2 linked regions of the Caenorhabditis elegans genome follow. The gene in region 2 interacts genetically with the main gene of each other region. Each region holds a gene or a part of one and is shown on either strand. Other genes may lie near its edges.

Evidence for each region. A genetic interaction does not mean that the proteins touch.
Region 1: changes in sup-46 (region 2) and melo-1 impair growth when combined (synthetic growth defect), as found in Caenorhabditis elegans (one study listed by BioGRID).

Annotation. Positions count from the first base shown.
Region 1 is NC_003282.8:14,785,213-14,791,372, reverse strand, and holds melo-1 (RRM domain-containing protein), read right to left. Parts: upstream 4,206-6,160; 5' UTR 4,190-4,205; coding exon 3,990-4,189; intron 3,868-3,989; coding exon of another isoform or gene 3,834-3,867; exon of another isoform or gene 3,393-3,833; coding exon 3,267-3,392; intron 3,076-3,266; coding exon 2,258-3,075; exon of another isoform or gene 1,968-2,257; coding exon 1,859-1,967; exon of another isoform or gene 1,524-1,858; coding exon 1,308-1,523; exon of another isoform or gene 1,226-1,307; coding exon 1,140-1,225; intron 1,087-1,139; coding exon 938-1,086; exon of another isoform or gene 884-937; coding exon 710-883; 3' UTR 530-709; downstream 1-529. Other genes in the region: gdi-1 (Rab GDP dissociation inhibitor), read left to right, coding at 1-91, 149-235.
Region 2 is NC_003279.8:10,169,125-10,174,189, forward strand, and holds sup-46 (RRM domain-containing protein), read right to left. Parts: upstream 3,480-5,065; 5' UTR 3,444-3,479; coding exon 3,365-3,443; intron 3,286-3,364; coding exon 2,999-3,285; intron 2,932-2,998; coding exon 2,716-2,931; intron 2,001-2,715; coding exon 1,899-2,000; intron 1,851-1,898; coding exon 1,611-1,850; intron 1,244-1,610; coding exon 995-1,243; intron 942-994; coding exon 750-941; 3' UTR 515-749; downstream 1-514.

The DNA of each region.
Region 1 (6,160 bases), on a different chromosome or scaffold from region 2:
TGTTTATGAGCCATCTGACTTGGGATCTGAGTCACAGATCTTCATCTCTCAATCTTATGATGCTACGACTCACTTTGAAACCACTTGCAAGGTAATTTAAAGAATTTAAAACAATTTTTGAAAGAAATTATAATTATTCATTTTTCAGGACGTGCTCAACATGTTCGAACGTGGAACGACCAAAGAATTCGACTTCACCAACATCACTCACTTGTCGTTGAATGATCAGGAATAATTGAATATCCATTCCCTTCTTTTGAGTACTCTGATTTGACGCTTCTGATGCTGCTTTTGCTCTTTTTTGTCGCCTCTATAAAAAAAACGATTCCCGTTCCGTTTGTTTCTCCTGTCCAATGTTCATTTTCAACCGATTTTAATTTATTGTATTTTCTCTTTTCCAGTCTCTATCCTCATGTGATTCCCCGAGAACCCTTTTTTTAAATTTCAATTTTCGTCCCGAAAACAAAATTTCTTCCCACTATTTCCTTTGTATTTAACTTTACAATTCCCAAACAAAGTCCGCTTCGTAAATCTATAAATCACTTTATCCTTTTGAAGTACTTCATTACAGAAATACAATTATTATCACGATCAGAAAGTTTGGATAGGATGGGATTACATTTGATGAAGGGAGATCATTTCCATTTGAAAATTGGAGAAGAATAAGCATATATGTTTTTACATAATTGATTAAAGAAAAAATCCCAGTTTAAGCCATCACAAGCAGAGCATCGAGCTGATCATCGACACGTTGCATCATCTTTTTGTACAAATCCTCCATATTCTCGAGCAATGCCATTTTCAGTCCGAATTGTAGAGACTCGTCTTTAGCGAGAAGAGCACGTGTGACGACCGCATATGTTTCACAATCGTTGCGAAAAGCCTGAAAAATAGAAAATTTGACTCAAATTAGTCAATGAGTAACTTGAAAACTTACCGATTCGAGTTGCTTCTTCTTAATATGGAAACGCATCATTTGCTCATCGTTGAGCTTCGCAAGCTTCAACTCCCTCACCATCGCCTTCTCCTCGTCCGCCGAGTCATCTTCAGTGGCTAGTGATGAGAGACGGAGAGTAGAGAATCCAGCTGAAATTATATATTGTTTTTCGAAAAAGCCCCCGCCGGTTGTCAATGGTTACCTTCGTCTTCTTCCTTTCTCGCTGGCGGCTCATACTTGACAGTGGAGAGGAGAGCAGATTGGAAGGCTTTGAGATGACCAAAGAGTCTGGAAAACATTGATTTTTTGAGGGAAATATTAAAAATTAGAGAATAAATATTAGTTTTTCAGGGAATTTCGAAATTCATACTTATTCGTGTTGGGGTGCATTGTAATGTCGGGCATACTTGAACCACCACTGATAGCAGACCCATTCATAGCAACTGGGTGAGCAGCGGCAGAAGCAGAAGCAGCAGCAGCTGAAACCACTGGAGCCGGCAGAGAAGAAGGCATAACTATTTCGATTCTGCCAATTTGACGGGGCACAAACGCAGGTTGGGGCGTGGTCGGTGGTGGTTGTGGTGGACTAAAACGGATTACACAAACGTGAAAATTTGCCCCGCGGGGAATATGGTACCGGGTCTCGACACGAAAAATTTTTGTTAAATACTTACAAACAGGTGCGCACCTTTAAAGAGTACTGTAGCTTCTAAATTTCCTAGCAGTGCTTTCAATTGTTTTTCTCACGATTTGTTAAAATAAAAAATGATTTTCAACAAAAAATCGACAAATATTTCAGTACACTTTAAAGGCGCATACCTGTTTGTATTTATCAAAAAAAAAAACTGTCGCTTGGAGACCACGAACCGTATTTTTGGAGCAAAACTCTCAAAAAATTTGGCGTCTGGGTAATGAACTTACGCTGTAGGGAGTTGTGGTGGTATTGGTTGCTGTTGTTGCTGTTGTTGCTGAATAGGTGTAGTGGTATAATAAGAATTGACTTGAACTGGCGGTTGAGCAGGTTGTGGGGCTGAAAATTCAAAAATTGACACTAAATAGATATCGAAAAATTTCAAGAAAAGCTTTTATGGCGGTTCCAAAAATTTCGAAAAAATGGGCCAATTTTAACTAAACCCTGAATTTTCGGCAATTTTCCCTGGTCGCAGCGGTTATAAATTCATTTTTTTGTTCGATTATTGTTTTATTTTACAGATAAAAATCTATTTCCGGCCGTTGTGACTCTTGAAAATCGGCGAAATTTCAGATTTGAGTTAAGAAATAGCCCTTTTTTTGAGAAATTCCTTTAGTGACTCCTCTTACTCTCTCTAACAATCATCTTCGGAGTTGCTTCAACTTCCATTGGCACTGAATAGGATACTGAAACTGGACTTGCACCAGTTCTGATTTGATTATATGTGTTGTTGGATTGCTGGTACTCATATTGATTATTGGAAACATGTGGAGGACTTTCCAATTCCATATCATCTGCCGTCGGTGGTGGAATGAACGATGCAGATTTTGAAGCTTTTGGAGTTGGTGGAGCTGGAGATGGCGATGCTGCTGCTTCAGTTTTCGGTGGAAGTGGGATTTGAGGAAGCTCTTCCTTCACACTCTTCTTTGGTTGAGTTTCTCGTACATCTTTCCGATCATCATCTGACAACTCTCTACGTCTCTTCTGTCGTGCTTCATTATCTTTGACTCGAGACTTCTCATCAAACGATTCATCGTCGAACGAATCAACATCATCCGATTTTCTCGAGTGAGCACTGCCCGATCTTCCCGAGCTACGAGACCGGCTTCTGGTATTCGATCGGCTTCTCGATCGATTCTGACTTCTACTACGATGCCGAGAGACTCTTCCATTTCTAGATGCCGGCGACTTTGATCTAGACACACTTCTTGAGCGGCTTCTCGATCGGCTTCTCGACGGACTTCTGCTTCTAGATCGGCTCTTCGATCGTCCTCTTCTCACTGGTGGCGACGCAGATCTCTTCGAAGACTCTTGTGAATCAGAACGACGACGGCGGCGTTGACTGTTGCTTCGAACCTGCTTGGCACGCTGATAGGCACAATAACGACGTATATCACGGAACCAAGAGAGATCACAACGGCATCCCATGAATTCACGATCCGAATATCTGAAAATGGAGAGGGTTGCTTTGAATTTCTTATTTTCGGCAATTCTACAATATTTTATTGAAAAATAGTGTCAAAATATATAAATTCACACAATTTATCTAAAAACACCATTCTTTTCAGCTGAGAAACTAGAAAAAAATGGAGCAATAGGCCATTTTATAGAATTTCCGCCTATCCCTGATCCACTTACGTCTCCATAAACTCCTTAGCCTCATCACGATTCTCAAATCGAACAGCCACGAATATCTTGCTCTTATCTTGAGCCACTTTCACGAAATCGAACGAGATTTTTCCAACTTTTTCGCCAATATATTCCCTAAAACAGGCATATAATTAAAAGGGCAGTGTGGGAGAATTTCACAATTTCGTGGGGGGCCACAACTTTTTTGGAGTCTGAAAATGAATTAGGTATGTTGAATATAGAATAGCTCGTGCATTTGGTGTTAATTCAAAAGCATGAGAAATATATTCCATTTGAGAAAAAAGAGACGGGGGAAAAAGAGAAAGAGATGGGTGGGGGGTGTCACACACTCGAATATATATATTGATATGTAATACACTCACAATGTGAAAACTGGTGGAAAATTTTAGAGACTTGTAATTGTAATTGTAAATCATTTGTTGCAAAATTCGTTGCAAAAGAAAAGACCGTATCCCACAGCGCGACATCATCAAATTATTTTAGAATGAATTAGAATTAATGTTGGGTGTGTGTGTGTGTGTGTGTGTGGGAAAATAATCTCCCTGTAGGTAATAATCAACACATAGTAGGATAGAACTCTCTTTTCCGACTGAAATATAATAATGATTATACTGATTATTGATTTGGAAATTTAAATATCTGAAATGATTTTGAATAGAAAACTTGGCAAAAAACTTTCAATCAAACATTTTCTCTCTACAAATAGCCTACTTGATCTCTTCCGTCGAAATATCACCATGAAGTCCTCGAATAAAAATCGTGTGCTTCGACTGAGGAACTTGCGTCTCATTGATTCTCGGCAAATTGTTGTAGTGATGATGATGGTTATTGTTGTTGTTGTTGTAATTATTGTGACGGAAACCTCCACCGCCACGATGATTGTTATATCCATAGTTGTTATTGTGATACATTATTATTATAGGTTCACTGGAATAAATATATGCACTGTATCAATATATATATATAAAATAAGAAATTAATAGCGAGAATACTTCTGAAACTGGGGAGGAATTGGGGGCACGCACACACACAGCGATAGTAAAATACTAACAGCAACGACGGCCAGTCGCCTTTCCATCCCCAGCACAGCACATCGAGACGGATAGATAGAGAGAGAGAGATTACATAAAAACGAGAGAATCATACGAAAAAGAGAAATAATTTAGAGAAATAACGTGGTAAACGTGGATGGTGAGTAGAATGCAAAGAGTGAGAGAGAGAGAAATAGATAGGAGACGAGAATACATTCGAGGAGAAAAAATACGCAGAACCAAATAGTATTTATTAACGTGGCGTTTTGGGACGCTACAAAATGAAATTGATCGGTGCAAATATTGCTTTTGGCGGGAGATTTGAATGCAATATTTGGAAAAAAAGATGACAGAGAAATTGCTAATACTAAATTTTTTCTGGAGTGAGAAAGAAATTCTGATAAAAAGTTCCAGCAATAAGTGTAGAAAAAAGTTTAATAGGCATTTTTCGTTTTTAGTTTCAAAAATACAGTAGCTGCAGGTCTCGACACGACAACATTTTGTGACATGAAAAAAGACGCGCGCCTTTAAAGATTACTGTAGCTTCAAACTCTCATTGTTGCAGAATTTTCATAGATTTTTCAGGAAAATGTATGTGTTTTAGTGTTATATTCTTTAAACGAACACACATACTTTTGGGAAATCGATGAAAATTCCAGATCAACGAAAGTTAAAAATTACAGTAATCTTTAAAGCCGCACACATTTTTTTTTCCTTTACCAAAACTTTGTCGTGTTGAGACCTTCGCACAAAATTTCGAATTTTCTGCTTTATAACGAGGTACAGTACCCCACGAGGAATGAAATCTGGCAAAGTCAATCCTCAAACTATTCTATGAAACCACTGTTCAATAGAAAATAATTTCTGCGAATGGAGGAACGTTCTATATATTCAATTCCTTCTTTATATCTCGACCAAAATCTCCATTTTAAAGATTTTCATCTTCGCGGTGGGTGACCCATTTTCGGAATTACTGGCACGAAATGTCGATAAGGAAGAAGAAGACGTGAATTTGGAGAAAAAAAATACATACTTAACAAAAAAAACTCAATAACTTATAAGCTGAGAGAAATAGGATTAAGAGTAGTTGAAGAGCTCAGCGCACATAGAAAGAAGGTGACAATGTGTCTAATGAGAACTGGTGGAATTTGTGAGCCGACTCTCTTATCAAAGTGAAAACGAAAAAGCTGTGGCAGAGCTTTCAGGTGAAAAATGAAAAACGAAAAACAAGCCAACCGTTAATTATTTTTACTTGTGTTGGCGTTGTGTGCGAGTGTTGACATATACGCGGTTTCCCGTGGTTACACTGCCTTCAAACAAACTGAATAATGTGACGATTTATGGCTTTTTAGGAAAGAACGACTGCTGGTGGAAGGGGACAATGCACAATATGCTTTTGACTTGCAAATTTTACAATCGATCAATTGGACGCTGCTAGAGCAGATTCTCTAATTGGATCGATTTTATTGCAAGGTTCGCAACACATTGTGTGGCATTGCTTATCGAGAAGGAGTGTACGTATTTTAGTTGTCAAAAATACGAAGTGATTCATCATAGTGGAAGAACCATTGCAATACCTGCACTATCGATAGTAAGTAGTGATAATGAAGTATGTAACGAAAGTGAGTGTATATTTGCAAAGCGGAAGAAGGAATAAGAACGGACGAACTGGGGTCCAAAATAAGTATTTTTCGGATAATTTTCACTGTAACCGTATGCTAAAGCCTGTAAAAATGACCCCACGTGGTGTCAGGCTGTCTCATAGCGGTTTGATCTCCAAAAAATGCGGGAATTTTTTCCCAGAAAAATTGTGACGTCAGCACGTTCCATGCGAAATCAGACGAGATGTCT
Region 2 (5,065 bases):
TTTGAGGCGCACACCCGTTTGTATTTAACAAAAAATTGTCGTGACGAGACCAGGAACGGTATTTTTGGTGCCAAAATTTTTTATTGCCGGTTTTGAAATAAAAACAATTAATTTTTAAAAAAATTGATATAACAGTACTCGTTATAAAGCAGAATTCAGAATCCTTCTCCAAAAGCCTCAAGGTACCGTAATCCAGAGAAAGGCGTCAAAAATGAAAACATAGACAAACGAAAGAAAGTTGTGAGCATACAAATAGACACACACAATGCTCATCATCGTTTTCTCAGCAACAAAGGATTCTTCATGGGCGTGACTATCTTTTGCTCATGAAGGAGAGAGACGTCTTCAAAACGCAATTAAGGGCATACGGTAAAACGTTTGAGCAGCAGTTGTCGCGCGCAAATCAGATTGCGTGAAGCTCTTGTTTGATGCGGGACACACATGCTAAATTGTCTTCTGAATAGCACCTCAAATTGTGCGGCGCTCATCTGAAGACACACTTGTCACGTCATTTATTATTAAAACTTTTATTTGTCACCATCCTGCCAGAGGAAAATATGAGAAATAGTTTTAGAGTGATGAAAATGAGGAAGATGTTTTAAATTATTGAGATTCCGTTGACAAGGAAGCCTTTTTAAAGGGATAAGGAAGGATAGAGATGGAGAAAAAACGGATAAAATAAAGATAATAGATGATGATTCAAGAGAAACGTGAGAAGTTTCAAATACAAATATAACAGGGGGAATGAATTAGGCGTAGTCAACGCTGATCATGCGGCCTTCGACAGTGGATCCATAGAGGGCAGCACGAGCACGTTCAGCGTCTTGGAAAGTTGCAAAACGAATGCGAGCAGCTCCTGGCGCCATCATATCAACAGAGTCGACTTCTCCGAAGTTTCGAACACGGTCACGGACAATTTGCCAGGTATAATCGCTTGGAAGCTGAATAACAGATCATAAATGAGAACAAATTGAAATTTGAATTGAAAACTTACGTTGCGAATGATAATAACCCTTGTTGCCTGGGGTGTCGCAGCACCGGCGAGTCCACCAGCTCCATTGACACCAAAGACGTCAGGTTGAGCAAATGTGGCTCCACCAGCACCACCAACACCAGCATTTCCTCCAAATGGTCCATTGTTCATGACGGATCGGGCAAAGTTGGCTTGTTCAACGACTCCTCCAAAACCACCAGCCGAAACAACTTGTGGTCCACCTACGAATGGGGCAGCTGGAGCTGTGAACTGAAATATAGATAATTAAATTAACTTTTAAAAATTTTATAATTGAGTATTTGTTATCAAGAGTTTCATCGAACATTTTTTGTGCTTTTTTCAGAGAAAGTTCCGTTTGTTCTGAAAATCGAAAAACATGTTTAGCAAATTGGAATATAAAAACCCATTTTTGTATTAAGTTTTCAGATTGTTGATGGGGAAAAACATAAGAAAACATATCGTTTTCTTATAAAAGGCCATTTTTCGAAAAATCAAAATGTTGGAAACCCGAAAATTTCTGTTTAAAAAAAATTAATTTTTCGATTTAAAAAAATCTAAAACCACCATTGAATGCTAGTATATACCACACCGATGAAATTTGTTTTAAATCGCTTACCGGCACTGAAGCATCTCCTGGGAACATTCCATGAACATTGGAAAGTGGTGCTCCTTCTGCTCCAAGACCCATTCCGATTGACTCAAGACCTCGTGGAAGTCCACCTTCTTTGTGCTCCAGTTCCTTATCGAATCTATCCATTTTCACAACCAGATTTCGATCAAAAAGTCGCTGACCATTGAGCATCGAAACGGCTTGTACGGCTTCAATTGGGTGAGTGTATTGAATTACGCATACTCCCTGGAAGACACCATTTATATTTTATAGGAACTATAAATATTAACAAACCTTTGACTTTCCTTCTTTATCAATGCGGAAGTCCATCCAGGTGATTTTACCGGCCATACCGAAGACTTCGTAAAGCTTATCGGTTCCGACATTGAAAGCCAACTGAAAATGTTTGATTAATAATATTGTCTTGGAAACAGAAGTGGAATTTCGGAAATTCTATAAAATGACATATTTCGCCATGTTAAATATAGAAAATCACTTTTTTAAATCTGAAAATAACACTTATTTCAGATAAAACACTTGGAAAAGCGCTTCAAAAATACCAGGATGTTGCAAATTGCCGATCATCAAATTGTTGAATTATCGTTTCTCGGCAAATGGCAACTTTTGGTCATTTTCGCGCACTTTTCCAAATGTTTAAAACGAGATAATTTTTTTTTAATTTTCAGATAAATCAAGTGATTATCTACATTTTCAGACTAATTTTTGATGAAAACTTTTGAAAAAAACATGTCGCAATAGGTCATTTTGTAGCATTTCCGAAAATAATTGCCAACCACCTCTGATTGGGAACTAAGAATGGTATTTAGTAACTGAATTAGTGATGCTATATTTTATTCGTATGATACTGAGAGATCTACCCGGAGGATGCAACTGTCTGAACAAACTATAATAAGCACTGATTCCATTTTGTTGTATATAATTCCACGTAGAAAGCTTCCTACTACTATTCCGTTTAAAAACACCAAAATGAAAAATTGCATTTATTTCTCCCATTCGAATAATTTCATATCTCAAAACTGAGATAAAGACCCAGCAAGTGAACGTGGTCTAGATGTGGAGCCCTTCGAGAAGAAGAATATTTGAAACCTACATTGGCGATGAAGATGCGCTCACAGAGTGGCGGTTCAATGTTGTGTTGGCGAAGGAATTCCATATTGAGACCGAATAAATCATAAGTTCCAGTTCGAGTAGGGCGATCAAGATCTTTTGGTGGAGGACCTCGTCCTCCTGCACCACCACCTCCGGTACGAGACAAGTAATCAATGCCTGTTTCAGTTTTGATGGTTCGGAAGAAAGCATTCGGATCCTACAGAAAAAATAAAAAATGGATGAAAATTTCTGAATGTGAGTGTCAAAATTAAATAGATACGGACCCGAATTTCTTTGGCGATGATGGTTCTTCCCTTCCAGTCGAACTTTTGTAGATTCTCAACGCATTTTTCGGCACCCTCACGAGTTTCGAACTCAACCACAGCGTTACCCTTTGGCTTGCCGTTACGGTCTTCGAGCAACTCGCAGAAAGCGACTTCACCTCCTTTCTCGCGAACTAGACTTTTCAAATCGACCCAACGAGCCTCATAGGCGATATTGGTGATAAAAACCATTCGGTTGTTCGATGATGAGTTCCCATTGTTACTTCCAACAGCAGCGCCGATACGACCTTAAGGAAATGGAAAATAGAGAAGGATTTCTATGGAAAAAATGGTGGAAACGGGAATGAAGAATATCAAAAACTATACTTCTTCTTGGACTTCTGGATCGGCTCCGACGCTCTCGCTTAACATCACGCTGTGGTCCGTCTCGACGATTTCTGTTCATGTTGGCTGATGGAACACGGATCTTGGATTAAGCTTTCTGAATGAGTTGAACTAGAATCAATTAGACGATAAGCAAATGTTTTCATATAACAACGGGCTTCTTTAAAAAACAATTGAAATTTTATTTCCATTTTGATTGCTAACAAGTCGAAAATTAATTGTAACTAAAATAATCTGCTCGCTGAGTGGCCCATTTTTATTGTTGAAAGAGATAAAAGATTATTTACTGAACTGTCTCGCCAATGTAATACTTGATTTGACATCGAATTGAAAAACTATGTTACAACAATGATCGAAAACTTATGCACAGATGAGTAAAAAGTTTTGTGATCGCACCTTATTTGCTTCTTTACTTACAAATAGGCCACTCGAGCAAAATTTGACTTGATATCTTACAGAAAGACTAGAATGCTCTAAACTCTCTTAAAATTCCCGAACCGAAAATTAAGTTTTCAAAAAGAGGAACAATTTCGAAATTTATCTATCGGAGCAATTCTCTGAAACATCTTGGAGATTTTCCGACTGATAATGCATATTTAAGCCGCGAGAACCATTTAGCAAATTTTAAAACAAAAAAACGTTTGATTTAACGAAGAAAATAAAGAAAAATAAATACGATAAAAGAGAGAAAAATCGAAATTCGAAAAGAAGAGACGGCGGCAAACACAAGTGTGCATTTGTGCGTCGAGACGAGCCGCACAGCCGACATCAGATTTGACGCCACAAATCGCCGCGAAAAGTGAAGGCTTTTTCTTTGCTGCTAAGCCAGTATTCTGGATCTTTTACGATTTTTTTTTCATTTTCGATAGCATGGTTCTGTGAAACAAGATCTCTGTTCTCTTTGAAACACTCTATTCTATAATTTATTTTATTCTTCAATTGTTTCTTCCATGTTTCCCTAAAAATAATTTTGTTCGTTAATTGTCAATAGGATTTTTATGAACTGAATTCAGTGTCAAATTTCGGAGAAAGAATAGAAAACGTTTTTTGTGAGATAAGCTGCCTCTCGTTTTGTTTTGCCTCCGCATGACAGATTTATTCTCAATTTCACACTAAAAATTATTAATAATTGTACAATTTAGTTTTGCTTCAAGTTCTATAACAACGCGTTTTTGTTTTTTTTTCACAATTCATGCGCTAGCTGTCCAAAAATATTCAAAATGTTTATAGAATAGGTGATTCAACACCAACATTTCAAACTATCGTTCACAAGTCACATTCCAAATGACTAACGTCCATATAAAGTTTCTGATATTGCTCCAATCGTCCCAAATGTCTTATCATATACACTTCATGACGTGTTTTCCCTATTCTTTCTCTTTTCCCGCCGATGACCATGTCTCTCCCTTCTATTCCTCTAGGTTTCACCATACGAATATCAAATCGTATATACATTTAAAAGCCGACGCCTTCTACCATGTCGAACAGTAATCGCATGGAACTAGTTAGTCTTTTCCCAATCGCCGTCATTTCCCTCACTTTTATTCCTTACACTAGATTTTATTATTGATAGAACTGAAATCTTGGTCTTATGTTAACGACAAAAATCGTGCCTCGTTTCATTTTAAATGCAAAACTACCTGCCGTTTATTGCCGCCGTCAAGAGAACAATTCGCACTAGGT